4 linked regions of the Caenorhabditis elegans genome follow. The protein of the gene in region 1 purifies or fractionates together with the protein of each later gene. This does not show direct contact. Each region holds a gene or a part of one and is shown in the gene's direction. Other genes may lie near its edges. The genes, in order: cyn-3, unc-60, fkb-1 and ubc-12.

Evidence for each region.
Region 2: the proteins of cyn-3 (region 1) and unc-60 fractionate together in Caenorhabditis elegans (co-fractionation; one large-scale study listed by BioGRID). This does not show direct contact.
Region 3: the proteins of cyn-3 (region 1) and fkb-1 fractionate together in Caenorhabditis elegans (co-fractionation; one large-scale study listed by BioGRID). This does not show direct contact.
Region 4: the proteins of cyn-3 (region 1) and ubc-12 fractionate together in Caenorhabditis elegans (co-fractionation; one large-scale study listed by BioGRID). This does not show direct contact.

What each region holds. Positions count from the first base shown.
Region 1 is NC_003283.11:15,187,781-15,191,692, forward strand, and holds cyn-3 (Peptidyl-prolyl cis-trans isomerase 3), read left to right. Parts: upstream 1-2,146; 5' UTR 2,147-2,171; coding exon 2,172-2,240; intron 2,241-2,290; coding exon 2,291-2,542; intron 2,543-2,852; coding exon 2,853-3,053; 3' UTR 3,054-3,146; downstream 3,147-3,912. Other genes in the region: bath-36 (BTB and MATH domain-containing protein 36), read left to right, coding at 694-800, 861-1,432, 1,482-1,765; Y75B12B.11 (DUF7808 domain-containing protein), read left to right, coding at 3,529-3,598, 3,650-3,733, 3,782-3,878. UniProt on the Caenorhabditis elegans protein: Catalyzes the cis-trans isomerization of proline imidic peptide bonds in oligopeptides. Plays a role in protein folding, transport and assembly.
Region 2 is NC_003283.11:1,472,947-1,480,435, forward strand, and holds unc-60 (Actin-depolymerizing factor 2), read left to right. Parts: upstream 1-2,139; 5' UTR 2,140-2,192; coding exon 2,193-2,195; intron 2,196-2,365; coding exon of another isoform or gene 2,366-2,461; intron 2,462-2,614; coding exon of another isoform or gene 2,615-2,841; intron 2,842-2,894; coding exon of another isoform or gene 2,895-2,994; intron 2,995-3,054; coding exon of another isoform or gene 3,055-3,126; exon of another isoform or gene 3,127-3,838; intron 3,839-3,935; coding exon 3,936-4,022; intron 4,023-4,392; coding exon 4,393-4,505; intron 4,506-5,004; coding exon 5,005-5,091; intron 5,092-6,256; coding exon 6,257-6,425; 3' UTR 6,426-6,630; downstream 6,631-7,489. Other genes in the region: F53E2.2 (Actin-depolymerizing factor 1, isoforms a/b), read left to right, coding at 2,193-2,195, 2,366-2,461, 2,615-2,841, 2,895-2,994, 3,055-3,126. UniProt on the Caenorhabditis elegans protein: Depolymerizes growing actin filaments in muscle cells; required for the assembly of actin filaments into the functional contractile myofilament lattice of muscle.
Region 3 is NC_003282.8:11,034,746-11,038,038, forward strand, and holds fkb-1 (peptidylprolyl isomerase), read left to right. Parts: upstream 1-1,836; 5' UTR 1,837-1,840; coding exon 1,841-1,968; intron 1,969-2,013; coding exon 2,014-2,125; intron 2,126-2,176; coding exon 2,177-2,356; 3' UTR 2,357-2,429; downstream 2,430-3,293.
Region 4 is NC_003279.8:11,909,487-11,913,083, forward strand, and holds ubc-12 (NEDD8-conjugating enzyme ubc-12), read left to right. Parts: upstream 1-1,833; 5' UTR 1,834-1,840; coding exon 1,841-1,934; intron 1,935-1,980; coding exon 1,981-2,429; 3' UTR 2,430-2,567; downstream 2,568-3,597. Other genes in the region: rbm-3.1 (RRM domain-containing protein), read right to left, coding at 1-111, 167-245, 464-488; rbm-3.2 (RRM domain-containing protein), read right to left, coding at 935-1,091, 1,177-1,255, 1,449-1,470; mag-1 (Protein mago nashi homolog), read right to left, coding at 2,661-3,059, 3,131-3,190. UniProt on the Caenorhabditis elegans protein: Accepts the ubiquitin-like protein NEDD8 from the uba-3-ula-1 E1 complex and catalyzes its covalent attachment to other proteins. Plays a role in male tail tip morphogenesis.

The sequences.
Region 1 (3,912 bases):
CGCTTCTAGAATTTTCCGACGTAAACAACAAAGTCCGCAAAAGTGTCTGCGTACCCGACACCCAATCATACGACATGCGCCATATCTGACGACACTTTCGCTGTGTTTCCCGCCTTTTGTCAACACTTTCACCGTGCGCCTGTGTTTTCAAATGATCGTACACAAAACAACAGAACGGCGCCGAAATTGATAACAATTTTTGTAGGCAATAAAAGATTACATTGAAAAACCGGTCATTGATATCAGTTCGATCATCACCACGGTCTTCACGAAAAGAAGGAGAAATATCGAGATGATTTAACATTGAGAAACATTGAGAACATTTTAAATTGCTAAATAGATCACAAATTAATCCAACAGTTTTTCATTTTGTTGAATGCTTTCGAGATCGATTGAGCTAAATATGAAGCTCTGCATGTGACGGGTATCTGCGAAGCGGTTCGTCAAGATTAGCTTTGCTTATCCGCTAAAAAATAATCTTTTCGTACAAGGACAAAATAAAATCTGCACAAAATACATCGTGATGTGCTAAAAATGGTTAATGTGAAAGTCCTAGAAATAGACCAATAAACTTTATAAATTTTGACTGGTCTCGAAGCCATTTAGTGTACTGTAGGTGAGAGCATTGCTCAGCTTAAATTGTTTGTTTCAAATTCTTCTTCATTGTTCAAATTAAATTTATCACAAGATAAAATGTCTGGAAAAGACAATAAAGGATCAATTCGTTTTGAGATTCAAAATTTTTCTGGCTTGGCGAAGGCGACGGAGCACAAACCAGTGCAAATTGGACACGTAGAATGGTTAGTGAATTTTAATGAAACAAAAAATGTTCTAAATTATTTAAAATATTATCTTTTAAGGATTCTTGGAGCATTCACAAGCACTTCCGACGCTACGAACAATGCTAAACATCTCGGAATTCACCTGAAATGCAACGAGGAACTGCGCAGCAACTTGTGGTCCTGCGATGCGTCAATTCGTTTTTCACTTCTGAGACTCAATTCAAACGAGGATGATGACGCGTTTTCGATGGAGTTTCAGCAAAAGTTCGACGACTTGAACAAGATTGTGGTGGTCAACAATTTTAAAAATTGGGAGGAAGCCATCTGCTACGATAATCGATTTGTGCTCGATAAGCATGCCGTTCTTGAAGTCCAAATTACTGTCAACAAGATTGCCGGAATTCATGAGAGGATTATCGAGACTTTCGATCAACCCAAGGAACATCTTACCGATGTTGTGCTGGTGCTTGAAGGAAAACATGTCCATGTTGGCAAGCAAGTGCTCGCAACGAGCTCGCAATTCTTCCAAAAAATGTTCTATTCGAATTTCGCCGAAAAGACACAGGCTGAGATCAAAATCGATGATGTGACCCACTCTGAGTTTATCGATTTGCTCAATGTGATCTACCCCACTCACATGCTCATTAATAGTAAGTTCTTTTTTTTATTTGAGGCTTGGAATTATTAACGGATTTTCAGGTTCCAACGTGTCTCACTTGCTCAAGCTGAGCGATAGATTCGCGGTGCCAAGAGTTCTGGAAAAGGCTGAAACGTTTTTGATTTTGGACCAAAAGACCCACTTGATCGACAAGCTGAAGTTCGCCGAAGTCTACAGACTCTCAAGGCTTCAAAATGCATGCCTTTCGCAATTGGAGACCAGCGAAGATGTTACTGCGTTGAAGCATCACGAAAATTATAAATCTCTCGATCATATAACCTACAATGCGTTGCTTCAGAAGCTCATTGATCTTTTGGAAGATTAGCTCCAAGCTTTGTTGAATTTGTTGTTGATAAATTCTGTTGTTGATTTCAGTTTTCAAAACTGCAGATTATTTTTTGTTAAGGAGAAGGTAAAAATACCGCGAAGAACTGTTAATTTTTGATTGGTTAAAAAACTCAAATTTAAACTACCACCAAAAAGAAGAATGTAAGCACGCTCTGCTGATGAAAGAAAACCTTATTCAAACTTCGCGGTCTCACAAATTATCAACGGAGCGAACATTCTGACCCCGCCCACAAATCGAAATTTCTCTGCCGCTCTCCATTTCGGTCCCATTTTTTGAATTTTCATGCGAATTCACTGTTTTTTATTCAGATTTTTTATCGATTTTCGTTTAAATTATGTAATTTTTATGATTTTTCAGTAATTTCCCTATTCTTGCCTCAACAATGAGCCGCTCAAAGGTCTTTTTCGACATCACCATCGGTGGTAAGGCTTCCGGACGTATCGTCATGGAGGTTTGTGAAATTTTGGCTATTTTCATCTTCAATAAATAAATTTTTTACAGCTTTACGATGACGTTGTCCCAAAGACCGCCGGTAATTTCCGCGCTCTCTGCACCGGAGAAAATGGAATCGGAAAGTCTGGAAAGCCACTCCACTTCAAGGGATCCAAGTTTCATCGCATCATCCCGAACTTCATGATCCAGGGAGGAGACTTCACCCGCGGAAACGGAACTGGAGGAGAATCCATCTACGGAGAGAAGTTCCCAGACGAGAACTTCAAGGAGAAGCACACCGGACCAGGAGTCCTCTCCATGGTAAGCAAATCGTCAGCTGAATCTGTTTGAAGTTCGAGAAAATGTTTTTTTCTGCTCAATTTGGGAAAAATATCACTGTTTGTTCTCCGAAAAGAGGGAAAACTGAAGATTTCTAAATGTTGCTTTTCCGGAAATTGTCGTATCTGTGAGAGACGCAGACATATCTCACAGCACGTTGTGTGTAGGATGGAGTGCTGAGCCGTTGTTAGGAGAAATTGAATGATTTATGAGAAAGAGCAGCTGAATGTATCAGTCTCAAAAAATATCAGAATTTTTGTCTGTCTCGAAAGTAATATTTTCAACATTTCAGGCTAATGCTGGACCAAACACCAACGGATCTCAATTCTTCCTCTGCACCGTCAAGACCGAGTGGCTCGACGGAAAGCACGTCGTTTTCGGACGTGTCGTCGAAGGATTGGACGTCGTGAAGGCTGTCGAATCCAACGGATCCCAATCCGGAAAGCCAGTCAAGGACTGCATGATCGCTGACTGTGGACAACTCAAGGCATAAATTAATTGCACCCGAAATCTCCTTCATCTCTTGATTATATATTTTCAGTATTCAACTAATCCATATTTTTCTCATAAACCTCAGTTATCCCCGATTGTTCCTTTGAAGAAACCCAGGTCTCATTGAGAAAAAAAAAAGAAATCAGCTCAGACGTTGCGCATATTTCCATCTTCTGGCGAAAGGCGCGACGTTGGGTCCCGCCTTTTCAGGCGACATCACAATCCGATCGCCTCGGCCACTGCACAAGTCATCGATCACCGCTGAGGAGTTGAACCCGCGTCTGTTGTTTGAAGACGGCGCGCTTTACCACTGAACCACTCGGTCGCGAATAGTAGTGCGCCGTTGTGTACCTATAAAAGTGTGCGTAGGCAAGCAGAGAGGAATAATGAAGCGGAGAGTTTCAGAACCGGATTTCAGCTTTATCTAATACTTGAATCTACATGCAACATCCATTCAGATTTTAATTCAATCTTTAATGAATCGCATCTACTATTTATTGTCGCTTTTAATTTTTCTAAACACTATAAACTCTCTTTATCAATGGGGTAATTTTTAAAAGATTAAATTTTTTTGAATTGACATTAAAAATTTCTCAGAAAATCGGATTTTAAAATGTGAAAACGCCAACTGCTCTCTTCAAAAAACCGGCGAAGAATTTAAACCTGCAGTTTGTGAGAAAGGTCGTCTTTTTATTTGAATAAACTTTTGAAATCGCAAGAAAAATTCAGATTCTAACGGAAAAATCGCATGTGATATAGAATGTGATAAAGCTGATCGTGACAGTGTTATCTCAAAAAGGCCCACCGATTATCGATATTGCAATAGGTGATCCGATTAAATTAATGTTTACAGTAGTTTC
Region 2 (7,489 bases), about 14 Mb from region 1:
TTCCAAATATTTCGGCTGCTTATTGGGAGACCATTTAAAGGGGAAGTAGAGTTTGTGGCTATTTTAATTAAATCGACTAAAACTGGTCCATTATCCAAAAATGTTTATGGCCGGTCAAAATTTCGAAAAAAAGAGCCAAATTTTGCTAAAATCTGAATTTTCTCAAACTTTTCTTTGTCACAGCCGCTGGATTTTAGTTTTTCGGAAATTATCACCCTTTGATCCTTAATTTGGTAATTTATCTCGCGGAAATTCGTTGATTGAGACAACTTTTAGGCCGATAGGCATACAATTTTTATCATTTTTGGATGCCCATCGGCTCAAAAAGTGTCTCAATCAACGAATTTCCGCGAGATAAATTACCAAAATAAGGATTAAAGGGTGATAATCTCAGAAAAACTAAAATCCAGCGGCTGTGACAAAGAAAAGTGTGCGAAATTTCAGATTTTAGCAATAGTTGGCCATTTTTTCGAATTTTGGCCGGCCATGAAAAATTTTTGGAAATTTTTTGTGAAGTCTCATTATGAAATTCGGTGATTTTGGACCAGTTTTTGTCTATTTAAGCAAAATACTACAAACTCTACTCCCCTTTTAAATTAAATCGTCCGAGTTTTCTTGGACTATTTAATATTTTTGCATACGAAAAACACTGTCTTGAAATACACTGTCAAATTATTATACTGAGCGACTAGAAAAGATTCTAAAAATAATTCTCAAGATGACTAATTCATTTTTTTATTTCTGAAATGAGCGTGTCTTATTGTTTCGCAATTGCTAATGACTTTGACTCCTCCCACGTCGTTGGCGTTTTTGTTCGTTCCTCGATCAATTGGTGGCTCCCTCACAGTCAATTTGCCCTTTCTCTACGCCCACGCAAACCATCTGAACACTTCTATGCTAATAATGCTCATTCCGACTTGAATTCAAGGAAAATGATATGTTTTTTTTCTCACTGAACTTTCACCCGATGTTGAAATAACCCGAAAGTAGAGAATATGTCGGGGGGGGGGGGGGGGGTAGTAGATGGGCGGTGTAGTTGTCTGCGCGTACGCTAAGTGGAGATTATACGCTTCGACTGTCTCGTAGCACCGAGTTCCTTTCGCTAATTACTCTCATCAACTATTGTTTCCACTGTGTGTGTGTCCTCCTCCGGGTATGTCCTTTTCGTTTGCCCCTTGTTCAAAGCCGAAATCGATGTTGTTTTCAATATTTTTAACGTCTGGAAACAATTCAAAAATTGTTCCAAACCCTCTCCGTCATTCTCGTACCGCCATGCGCTGACTCATACACCGTCGTCGTCCTCCTCGTTGTTGTGTACAACACAAAAACGGGTGGTTTTCTAATCTTTCTCCTTCCCAGTTGATACCATAGTGTATATAACGTACTCCTCGATGCTGAATGATGATTCATACGATCAATAGCAGTGCATTCCTACTTTTTTCTAATTTTGTCAGTACTTTCTAGAAACTGAAGCCCGGGAGAAAGTGCAAACGGATTCACCACTAGGTAGTCCGTATCTGTTTTTTTTTGGTATTTCGGGCAGAGCAAGTAAGGTCGGGGGACAATGGTGTGTGTGTTGCACATGGCGAATGTTTGCTCGGTTCTCGCTATTTTCTCTCTTCACTCTCTTCTCTACCAGCTCTTCAGATCGTTCACTCTCTCTCTCCGGGAGGGGACGGAAAAGATGACCATTCGGGCTGGGTGCTGCTGCTGCTGTTGCTGCCCGTTTCATTTTCTCTCCGCTCCCTCTCCTCTACTTGTCACTATCTCGCTCTATCTCTTCGTCTCTTCATTTTCCTCGTGTCCCTCGTCCTCGTCTATCTAAGCGGACGCGCTCGCACAGGCAAGCACTCTGACTGGCGGTTGTGTTGTTGGGGCTGGGGGTTAGGCCGAAGGGACGGCCCCGTCTCTTTTTTTTTGCGTCTTTCTCATCCTGCTTCTGTGCCAATCACAATGGACTTTCTTGGCTCTTGTTCTCTCTCTCTCTCTGTTTCCATCACTTTACCAATTTACCTCACACTTATGACCCTTATGACTCTTATCTGGGTTACACTTTTTCTTTGTGTTGAGCTTCTTCACTATCGTTTTTCCCTTCTCGTGATTCGATTATTGATTGATTAAAATCATTTTTTCTTGCAGGAAACTCAACTTGATTCTATTTCCCCACCACAAACCAACAACAACATCTCAAAATGGTGAGTTTGAGATTTTAATTCGCTTCAATATTTTTAAATTGAAAGAAATTTGGAATGTTATGTTTGGCGTGTTTTTTTTTCATTGAATTTCCAAAATTTCACACTAAAATGGAATGGTTTTCTCTTCTTTTTGCCTAACCTAACCTAACCTATGTGTGCCTGTTTTCTAGAGTTCCGGTGTCATGGTCGACCCAGATGTGCAGACATCTTTCCAAAAGCTCTCCGAGGGACGCAAGGAGTACCGCTACATCATTTTCAAGATCGACGTGAGTTTTTAAAAAATAAAATCTGAATCAGATCAATTTAAAAAAATTTCGTGCCACTTTTTGTTTTTTTTGTTGAAAAATTTGAAAAATCCTCAAATTAATTGTTTTAGATGAACATTATTGATTTCCCTATTAAATTGCAACATTTTCCAGGAGAACAAGGTGATCGTGGAAGCCGCGGTGACTCAGGATCAGCTCGGCATCACTGGAGACGACTATGATGACTCTTCCAAGGCCGCTTTCGACAAATTCGTCGAGGACGTGAAGTCTCGAACCGATAATCTGACCGATTGCCGCTACGCCGTTTTCGACTTCAAGTTCACGTGCAGTCGTGTTGGAGCCGGCACGAGCAAGATGGACAAGATCATCTTCCTCCAGATGTAAGCGCTTGATCCTATTGGTGAATTATTGTACCATCTAATTTTTTTTCCAGCTGCCCAGATGGTGCTTCTATCAAGAAAAAGATGGTGTACGCTTCGTCCGCCGCCGCCATCAAGACTTCTCTCGGAACCGGCAAAATCCTTCAGTTCCAGGTGAGAAATCTCGATAATTTTTACAATTAGAAAAAAAAAATCAAATTATTAAAATTTCAGGTGTCTGACGAGAGCGAGATGAGCCACAAGGAACTCCTCAACAAGTTGGGCGAGAAATACGGAGATCACTAGATACACGGGTCTCTTCCGAAGTCGTCGTCGCCGTCACATCCTCGATTATTCTCGTCTCTGTCTGTCGCATTTTCTCCATTGCTTGATGATTTCTGATCGTTTTCACGTGTGCTCTTTGAATGTGCTAGTGCGTTGTTGTGGTGCTTTTTTCTTACCAACCTCACTACTTGTTCATTTTTTTTGGTGTCCTCAAAGAATCATCCGTTGAAAACATGACTGCGGCGATGTGTTTCGATGATGTTTCTTAAGCGTCTTCTTCACATTTTCACCTCTTAACATTGCTAATTTATCCTCTATTTTTATCTGTTTTTTTCCTGATTGACGATTGTTTTTTTCCTGGGGGCAAGTGATTGTGTGTGCCCACTAATTTAATACAATGTGCCGGGTAACCTTCCGTACTATGAAGAAGTTGAGACATCCCCTCAGATTCTCAGTATCTTTATTGTTTAGTGAAATGCGTGGTAAATCCCTTCTCATTTACGATTATATTCTCTCTCTCTTGTAAAGCTTTCTATATTTATATAGTGTACTTTCCCCCACTGGAACTCTCAATCTCCATCTCCTCACCATTCTTTTTTTTTCAAATCTTCTATTGCGTATTCATTTCCCTTCTTACTTTTTTCCCACCCTGCCCGATCCCCTTGAAGAATCACCCACCAAACCGTTCATGTGCTGTGCTTTTTAAGATTATCACAATGAAATCAAGTTTGGAGTTTCTAACAATTGTTTTAACACGCGTGGAAAATTTTGAAAGGAAACAAAAATTGACATAAAAACCAGAAAAATATTACAAACACCTTTGAGTACAGGCTTCCGGAGTCAAAGTTGATCCATCCTGCAAGAACGCCTACGATCTTCTCCACAACAAGCATCAGCACAGCTACATCATCTTCAAGGTGAGTTATTCTGCGAAAAAAAAAATGCGTACTGCACAACACATTTGACGCGCAAAATATCTCGTAGCGAAAACTACAGTAATTCTTTAAATGAGTACTGTAGCTCTTGTGTCGATTTACGGGCTCAATTATTGCAATTTTCTTTATAAATGGTTTCCGTGAATCGACACTAGCGCTACAGTAGTCATTTAAAGGATTACTGCAGTTTTCGCTACGAGATATTTGATGTATTTTGCGCGTCAAATATGTTGTGCAGTACGCATTTTCAGAGTTTTCTGTTCCCGTAATAATTAAATAATTTTCTAAATTTGATTTTTTAAAAATTTAAAAAATAAATAAATCGAAAAAAAATAAATCAAAAAATAATCAGATTGACAAAAATGACACCGCCATCGTCGTCGAGAAGGTCGGAGAGAAGAATGCTCCGTACGCCGAGTTCGTTGAGGAGATGAAGAAGCTTGTTGAGGACGGAAAGGAGTGCAGGTAAGCCTAAGCCTGAGACTAGGCCTGAGCCTAAACCTGAGCATAAGCCTAAGCCTAAGAATAAGCCTAAGCCTAACACTAAGTCTTAGTCTGAGCCTAAATGTCGCGTGTATTCTACGCGAAAAGTTGTGTTTTTGCGCCAAAATACGGTGCTAGGTCTCGACACGACTAATTTTTACTAGTTAAATGAATGCAGAGAAAAGAAGGTGTGCGTCTTTAAATAGTACTGTAATTTCAAAATTATTGTTTCCATGGAATGTTTTATTATCGAAAAAAATTCACATAAATATTAAGAAACTGTGAAACATTAATGAAAATTTGGCAGCAATGGAATTTTGAAACTACATTACTCTTTAAAGGCACATATGATTTTGAATTTAACAAAAAAGTTTCGTGTCGAGACCAGTTGGTGCAAAAAAACCGCAAAATTTCTTGTCTGGATAATTATCAAACAACAAAACTCGTCGGAAATCTCGATTCAATTCATCCTTTTTTGCAGATATGCTGCCGTCGACGTCGAGGTTACTGTCCAAAGACAGGGAGCCGAGGGAACCAGCACACTCAATAAGGTCATCTTCGTTCAATAGTGAGTTTCAACATTGAAATATTACACATACACGTGGTGCCAGGCTGTCCCATTGCGGTTTGATCTAGAAAAAATGCGCGATTTTTTTCCCAAAGAAAATTTGACGTCAGCACGTTCTTAACCATGAGAAATCAGTTGAGAACTCTGCGTCTCTACTCCGGCTTTTTTTGTAGATCTACGTAGATCAAGCCGGAATGCTCGAAATTGTCCGCATTTTTGCGTTAAAAAAACGGTAACACTATAATTTCGCAGCAACGAATGTTTTAAATTACTGTACTCTTTAAAGGCGCATACCTGTTTGAATTTAACAAAAATTTGTCGTGTCGAGACCAGATAGCGTAAAATTTCGCGTCTGGAAAATCTAGAAAATCGTCCAAACAAAAAACCAAGAAAGTTGATAAAAATGAACGAATTTACTGAAATTCTCGTTGGAAAAGTCGGCCATCAACTAGGAAGCCTCGGCCACCAAAAAGTCGGCCATAAACTAGAAAAATTCGGCCACCAAAAAACCGGCCATCAACTAGGAAACCTCGGCCATCAACTAGAAAACTCGGCCATCAACTAGAAAACCTGGGCCATCAAAAAGTCGGCCATCAACAAGGAAAAGTCGGTCATAAACTAGAGAAACTCGGCCATCAACTAGGAAAACTCGGCCATCAACTAGAAATACTCGACCAGCAACTAGAAAAACTCGGCTATCAACTAGGAAAACTCGGCCACCAAAAAATCGGCCATCAACAAGAAAAAGTGGGCCATCAACTAGAAATCCTCGGCCACCAAAAAGTCGCCCATCAACTAGGAAAACACGGCCATCAACTAGAAAACTCGACCATCAACTAGAAAACCTCGGCCATCAAAAAGTCGGCCATTAACTAGAAAAAGTCGGCCACCAAAAAGTCGGCCACCAACTAAAAAACCTCGGCTATCAACTAGGAAAACTCGGCCACCAAAAAGTCGGCCATCAACTAGAAAAACTCGACCATCAAAATGTCGGCCATCAACTAGAAAACCTCGGTCATCAACTAGAAAACCTCGGCCATCAACTAGGAAACCTCGGCCATCAACTAGAAAAACTCGGCCACCAAAATGTCGGCCATTAACAAGAATCTCTTTAAAAAAATTTCCATGTATTTCCACATTCCACTTCCCAAACTCCTATTTTCAGCTGCCCAGACAACGCCCCAGTCCGCAGACGTATGCTCTACGCCTCCTCGGTCCGTGCTCTCAAGGCGTCCCTCGGACTCGAGTCCCTCTTCCAAGTACAGGCCTCCGAGATGTCGGACCTCGACGAGAAGAGCGTGAAGAGCGACCTGATGTCCAACCAAAGAATCTAAGCCTGTCCAATTGAATCCCAATCACAAATTACAATTTCTTTCTGGTACTACTAGTCTCTCGGACCATCCAAGCCCGTCAAAAATGTGCCTTTAACTTTTTTTTTCTTGTTAAATTATGACTTTTCTTGTCTGTAATTCTGATTTCCCATTTTCTCTGGAATTTTTAAAAAAATATTTTTCTTTTAATAAATAAATCCGTTCCTTCAGAACATGTCAGTTGTTGTTTTCCATGACGTCCAGACGACAAAAAACAATAAAATCAATTACCCATTTTTTCCAGAGCCCCCAAGAGCCCTCAGATGTTATAGAGCACAACACACCCCCCGAGAGCATCTCTTTACTTTTGACCTGATGCCACTCGACTTGTGCTCACCGGCTCTCGGAGCACAAGCAGGAGCACAAGTTATGCTACTTTTCTTCGAATTTTGTTTGTTTGTTTCGAAACTTGAAACGAACAGCACGAAACATTCTTTTCTTTGGATAATTTTTAAAAATCGATTTTTTTTCGAAATCCAACAGAGTTGGCCCACGGGGTTCTGGCCTTCCTCATTGAATTTTTCGCGCTCCATTGACAATCGCCAGCCAAACAACGCCTGGGGAAAGTCGTGTACTCCACACGGACAAATGCATTTAGAAGTAAAATTTCTCACGACGCGACACGCAACGCGCCGTAAATCTACCCCAGATATGGCCGAGCCAAAATGGCCTAGTTCGGCAAATTCTTCCATTTCAATTTATTAGGGAAGCCAGAAATCCGTGAGTTGGCTTAGTTTTGTTCAAAAATCAGTTTTCGTAGTGTTCTGAAAACGGAAAAAAACATCGCGTTCCATTTGTTTCCCGTTGTTTTTAGATTCGTTTTTTTTCGCAAAAAATAATGGGAATCCTTTTCAAATAAATGTTCTCCAGATGCGGTTTTTCTGCATCATTTTTTCTAAGAAGAACACATAAATCTGATGTTTTTTCTGAGTAGATTTCAAGGTTTTTTTTTGCCATTTTGTGGGTTTACTTTTTTCTCTTGTCATCCTCCAGCCAAAGCCTAAGCCTGAGCCTAAGCCTAAGCCTAA
Region 3 (3,293 bases), on another chromosome or scaffold:
CCTAATGAGACCCCAGAATACTGCCGGTATTCTGTCAGGACTCATTAGGTAGAGAGGAGACTCACAGAAGAAACTAAAACCTAATGAGACCCCAGAATACTGCCGATATTCTGTCAGGACTCATCAGGTAGAGAGGAGATTCACAGAAGAAACTAAAACCTACTGAGACCCCAGAATACTGCCGGTATTCTGTCAGGACTCATTAGGTAGAGTGGAGAGTTGGAAATGAAACTAAAACCTAATGAGACCCCAGAATACTGCCGGTATTCTGTCAGGACTCATTAGGTAGAGAGGAGATTCACAGAAGAAACTAAAACCTACTGAGACCCCAGAATACTGCCGGTATTCTGTCAGGACTCATTAGTTAGAGTGGAGATTCACAGAAGAAACTAAAACCTAATGAGACCCCAGAATACTGCCGGTATTCTGTCAGGACTCATTAGGTAGAGAGGAGATTCACAGAAGAAACTAAAACCTAATGAGACCCCAGAATACTGCCGGTATTCTGTCAGGACTCATTAGGTAAAGAGGAGACTCACAGAAGAAACTAAAACCTAATGAGACCCCAGAATACTGCCGGTATTCTGCCAGGACTCATTAGGTAGAGAGGAGACTCACAGAAGAAACTAAAACCTAATGAGACCCCAGAATACTGCCGGTATTCTGTCAGGACTCATTAGGTAGAGAGGAGATTCACAGAAGAAACTAAAACCTAATGAGACCCCAGAATACTGCCGGTATTCTGTCAGGACTCATTAGTTAGAGTGGAGATTCACAGATGAAACTAAAACCTAATGAGACCCCAGAATACTGCCGGTATTCTGTCAGGACTCATTAGGTAGAGATGAGACTCACAGAAGAAACTAAAACCTAATGAGACCCCAGAATACTGCCGGTATTCTGTCAGGACTCATTAGGTAGAGAGGAGATTCGCAGAAGAAACTAAAACCTACTGAGACCCCAGAATACTGCCGGTATTCTGTCAGGACTCATTAGGTTTAGTGGAGAGTTGGAAATGAAACTAAAACCTAATGAGACCCCAGAATACTGCCGGTATTCTGTCAGGACTCATTAGGTAGAGTGGAGATTCACAGAAGAAACTAAAACCTAATGAGACCCCAGAATACTGCCGGTATTCTGTCAGGACTCATTAGGTAGAGAGGAGATTCACAGAAGAAACTAAAACCTACTGAGACCCCAGAATACTGCCGGTATTCTGTCAGGACTCATTAGTTAGAGTGGAGATTCACAGAAGAAACTAAAACCTAATGAGACCCCAGAATACTGCCGGTATTCTGTCAGGACTCATTAGGTAGAGAGGAGATTCACAGAAGAAACTAAAATCGTATAGAACCCGCGATGATCACATCTATCCCATGTGCACTAAATTTCCTCGTTTTTACTGGATTTTTGAATGTTTCAGTTGAAAACCAATCTGTTCCGTTTTTGGGAACGGAGTGGATTGATGCCGAGGCTTTGAGGCAGCCTTTGCGAGAGATTTGGCACTCATTTTGTCTGAAATTAATTATTTATAATAGAAAAACTGAATTATTTTGTAAAATTTGTAAAGAAAACGGTAAAAATCTGTTTAAAACTCGGGAAAACTCAAAAACTATGAACTATGAGTTAAAAATCCGACAAAAGTTGCGCCAACAACTTTTGCTGACCCATTACTCGTTTTCTCTGCGTCACAACGCCACGTTTGCTTGACTTTTGTTTGCACACCTTCGATTGCTCTTTTGCACTGATTTCTCTGTCCATTTTTCTATTCATAACGTATTTTTTCAATAATTTTTCGTTGTATTGTGCTTCTAAAAATCAATTGTATTGTTGTAGGATCATGAAAACCGCTGTTATCGTTGGACTTTTGTGCCTATTGGCGATCGCATATGCTGCCGATGAGCAGAAAATCGATAAATTGCAAATTGGAGTCAAGAAGCGTGCCGAGAACTGCGTTCAGAAATCCAGGTAAGCTTACTCTTTTTAATTAAAATAAAAATGTTAAATTTACAGAAAGGGTGATCAATTGCACATGCACTACACCGGAACCCTTCTCGATGGAACTGAATTTGATTCCAGCCGCACTCGCAATGAAGAATTCACTTTCACTCTTGGACAAGGAAATGTTAGTTTTTAAAGAAAAAACCAATATCAATAATTAAAATTGAAATTATAGGTGATCAAGGGATGGGATCAAGGACTTCTTAACATGTGCGTCGGAGAGCGTCGTATTCTCACAATTCCACCACACCTTGGATACGGAGAACGTGGAGCCCCACCAAAGATTCCAGGCAACTCTGTCCTCAAGTTCGACGTTGAGCTCATGAAGATTGACAGAGACGGAGAAGAATTGTAAACGAACTACGGATATTTAGAAAACGTGCCTTTTGTAACTTATTCATGTTCTCAGAGTATAATTTTTTTTTGCAGTTTTTTTTTTTGTCTTTATAAACATGCCCATTCTATATATTTGGACCGTCTGCGGCCATTGATCACAACCGCGTCTCGCTTCTCTTTATCACCTTGTATTGCACTCTGTCAGCGAAAATGATAGGGTGTGCGAGACATTTATCAATTTCCATACACCTTTTTCTCTTCTTACCTAGTAATGCCTTGCTTTCTTAGTTTTTAAGAATGATTATTTTAATCTGAAAATCTGGAATCAACAGTTTCGTAAATATTAGAATTCAAGTATGTGGTTCCTCTGTAAATAAAAAGCACGAATCGAAAAAGGAAATGCATTTTTGAAAATGTCGAACAATAAACAAAAAATTGGAATTCTATTAGTAGAAACCCAATTAAAACTGGCATCCATGAATTATTGCACCAACGATCCGAATGCTTCTTTTCTCTTTTTTTTTGTTCATGCTCCATCCTAACAATAGTTATAAATTGAGGTCGATTCTTGCTCTTCGTTGTCTTCTCTCAACACACGAGTAAATTGAGTATTCCTTGAGAGCCTCCTGTGAGAGTATTTGTGAGCCTTGTATTTCCTTTCTCTCACTGCTTTCTTCTTCAGTTTTGATGTATAAAAGTATGAATAATAAAACTGACATTTCGCACTGAAAATTCAACGTGGTTTCGGGAGTAATATTTGCATAATCCGTCTTCTTGAAACCAACGGAGCGTGATGGAAATTTGATAGGACTCGATATTTTCTCTAGAATTTTGAACTTGGTTTTTTGAATTCTCTATTTTTTTGAGATCTATGATAATCTAACGCTTTTTCTGTTTGCCTACGCTTTTCGTTTTTTTTGTGTTTCTATTGACAGGCTCCCATCCCATCATTTTTC
Region 4 (3,597 bases), on another chromosome or scaffold:
TTGAACTCGGCTCCATTCATCTGCTCGACGGCTCTCTGTGCGGATCCTTCCTCGGCGAACTCGATGAAGGCGAATCCACGTGGACGTCCGGTTTCGCGATCACAGACGATTCTGAAAGAGATATTGCGTTAGAAATCATGAAGCTCGGGCTGGCTGGGAGAGTTACCTGACGTTGTTGATTTGTCCGATGCTGCTGAAGAAGTTTCCAAGCTCCTCCTCGGTGGTCTGGAATGGAGCGTTTCCAACTAAAAAAAAGGAAAATTTTAATTGATTTAAATATTTCGCAACCAAATTTGAATCTAAACACTTAAAATTGCCTTTTCAAATGAAAATATTAGGGAAAACTTCGCGAATTCGATTTTTCCGAAAAATCCCAAAATTTCAGGACAATATCGAGTTTTATTGGCTATTTTAACCAGTTTCCGATTGTTTAATACTTAAAATAAATTATTAAAAAACTAACCGTAAACAGAGAAGATTCCAGACATGACGATTTTAGGCCGTAGCAGAAAATTTATGACGGTTTAATTTTTCCGCTCACCCTGCCTTGGAGAAAACGTGCGGCAGTTGCGTAAAAACCGTGCCAGGGTTGCGTTTTGGCCCCGCCCCTCGAATAGCATCGATTTCGACAGATTTTTTCCATTTCAAGCTGAAAATATGAGGAATTAGTCCAAAATAAGACCGCGAAGAGTGTTGAAACTTGAATTTTCAGTTGTAAGCTCACATTGGGCTGCGCATAGCCCAGGATTCAAAACTTGCTCGAACCGAAGCCGTTCCTTCAAGCTTCTAGCCTCAACGCTTGCCATCAGATTGACCCCAAATGAAGATTCGAAATAAAAAAATAGAGCATATATATTTATGATAACGATTTCATGGGTTTATTATTATTGAGATCATTAAAGATCAAACAAGTAACAAAGTACCGATATGAAAATTAGTTGTTTCTGTTTTGAGCCAAGTTGACGCGTAGAGCTCTTCCGTTGAAATCGACTCCGTTGAATTGGTCGACGGCTCTCTGGGCAGCGGCCTCCTCGGTGAACTCGACGAAGGCGAATCCACGTGGACGTCCGGTCTCGCGGTCGCAAACGATTCTGAAAATAGAGATTCATATTGAGAGTTAACGGGTCGTCGTTCAGGAGGTTTCGGGAAGAGGAGATTTCGGGGAGAGAAGCTTACCTGACGTTGCTGACGTTTCCAGCCTGGCTGAAGTAGTTGCCAAGGTCGTCCTCGGTAGTTTGGAATGGAGCGTTTCCGACTGAAAAATGCATTAAAATTATTAAAAACTCAAATTATCTCAGCCTAATCAAATACAATAAATAGAAAAACGCCTGGAGAAAAATAAAAATTTTAGGCCAGACTTTAAATTCGGCTTTTCTCGATTAAAATCTGCTTTTAAAGCTGAATATTCCAGTTTTCTACTTGAATAATTTACAATTAACAAAACTAACCGTAAACAGAGAATCCAGACATGACGATTTTAGGCCGGAGCGTAAATATGTGTGATTCGAATCGTTTTCGCTTGCCTCCTCCGACTCGTGGGAAACCGTGCGGCACTTGCGGTAAAAGTGTGCCAGCCTTGCGTTCGCGCTCCGCCCCCTTTAGTCATTTCAGCGTTAGCAAACGCTGCGTCTTTTATTCCTCATTCTCTGTCATTTTTCATAGCAATTGTTTCATTTTCTCACGTAATTTGTCGTTTTTTCGCTGAATTACAAGATTTTCATCGATTTTTGACCCTTTTACACTGTAATTTTGCCAAAAAAACGATTATTTTCTCTATGTTTCCGTATGCGCCGCCTATATCGCTGAAAATTATCGTATTTCTTAATTTTTCGCTTTCAGAATGTTCAATCTTCAAAAACGAATCAACGGCAACAACGAGGACGGTCGGTATCTTGAAACCCGCATCGCCGTCCGTGACAAGCTCCTAGCTCAGGGTATGTGGCTGCTTTATAAAAAATTTTGATTTTACAACATTTTCAGAACTCCAACAGCTGGAGACTGCTCTTCGCGATCAGAAGCAAAAGCTGTGGCATCTCGAGGTCCCATCAACATCGTGTCTTCATGAGTTGGAACTCACCGTGACACCTCAAGAAGGAATCTATCGTGGAGGCAAATTCCGATTCAAGATCACCGTCCCGCCAGAGTACAACAACGTGCCGCCCGTTGTTAAGTGCCTGACAAAGGTTTGGCATCCAAATATCAACGAGGACGGATCGATTTGTCTATCGATTTTGCGTCAAAACTCGTTGGATCAATACGGATGGCGTCCAACGCGTAACCTCACCGACGTCGTCCACGGACTCGTCTCACTGTTCAACGATCTTATGGACTTCAACGACGCGCTGAACATTCAAGCCGCCCAGATGTGGAGTCAGAATCGCGAATCGTTCAATCATCGTGTTCGGGAATACATTTCTAGATATTGCTAAGGACCAACGGATCGGATTACAAATGGCCTGTGAATTGACCCCCCCTATGAAATTGATTTTGATTCTAACTTTTCCCCCACCTCTCAGACTTTTTCTAACTGTACTTTTTGAAAGAAATAAAATTTATTCTTGAGAAATTTGAGAACTTAAGAAGAGAAGAGAAAATCGAATAAATTAAACAAGTTAAAGAGATTTGGTGGATAAAATAGAACAGAGTCTGAAGGAATTAAATTAGATTGGCTTGATCTTGAAGTGAAGGCCAATGAGCGAGAAGACGAGGCACTTGAGATCCTGAACGAGATAGTAGAACGAGCGGAGACCATCCGGATCTTTCGAGTTGTTCACATCGGCTAGAGCTCCGATTTTGCCGGTCGTAAACGAGATGTGCTCGTTTTTGTACAGAATTTCCAGCTCCTGGCGTCCAATCTTGTCTGGTTCTGGCCAATTGTCATCGTCCTCCTGCATGATTTCCGAGTCTTCGATGATACGCTTGAGCTCGCTGAGCACCGATTCCGACACTGTCGCCTCTTTGCGGATCATCGTGTCATTCTTGTAGTTGGAGTTGTTCGCGTAGCGAAGCGATCCGTTTGGACGGAATTCGAATTCGAGAAATTCGTGACCGAATTTTCCCTGAAAATTGTTTCGTAAACTAATTTAAATTGGCGAAAATTGTCATTTTTCCAAGATTTTCCAAGACCTACCTTGTGTCCAACGTAGTAACGAACGTAAAAGTCCGCTGCCTTCTCTTCTTCGCCGCTCATTCTGAAAATAAATAGGAATTGAGAAAATCCAAACATCCATTAAATAAAACCGGGTGAAAATTAGAATTTCAAGGTAAAAAAACCTGATTTTTCAGTGAAAATTCACAAAAGAAAGATGATAAATAGGTTTATATTGTGATAAATTCGATAAAAACTGTGTTTTTAGACAAGAAACGATAGAAAATATCCTTTAAAATATAGAGAAAAGAAATCCGATAAAAATTCGAAAACGCCGAAATCTGTGCATTTGTGCGCGGCGGTGTATGCACCACCGGCACCACACTTGACGACGGAAATTTTTTAATTGTCGATTTAACGAAAGATTTAAATAGATTTGAGGATCAATAGAGGTTTAGAGAAGTTGAGATTCGTATAAATTAAAGAAATAGTTTGAAGAGACGATATAA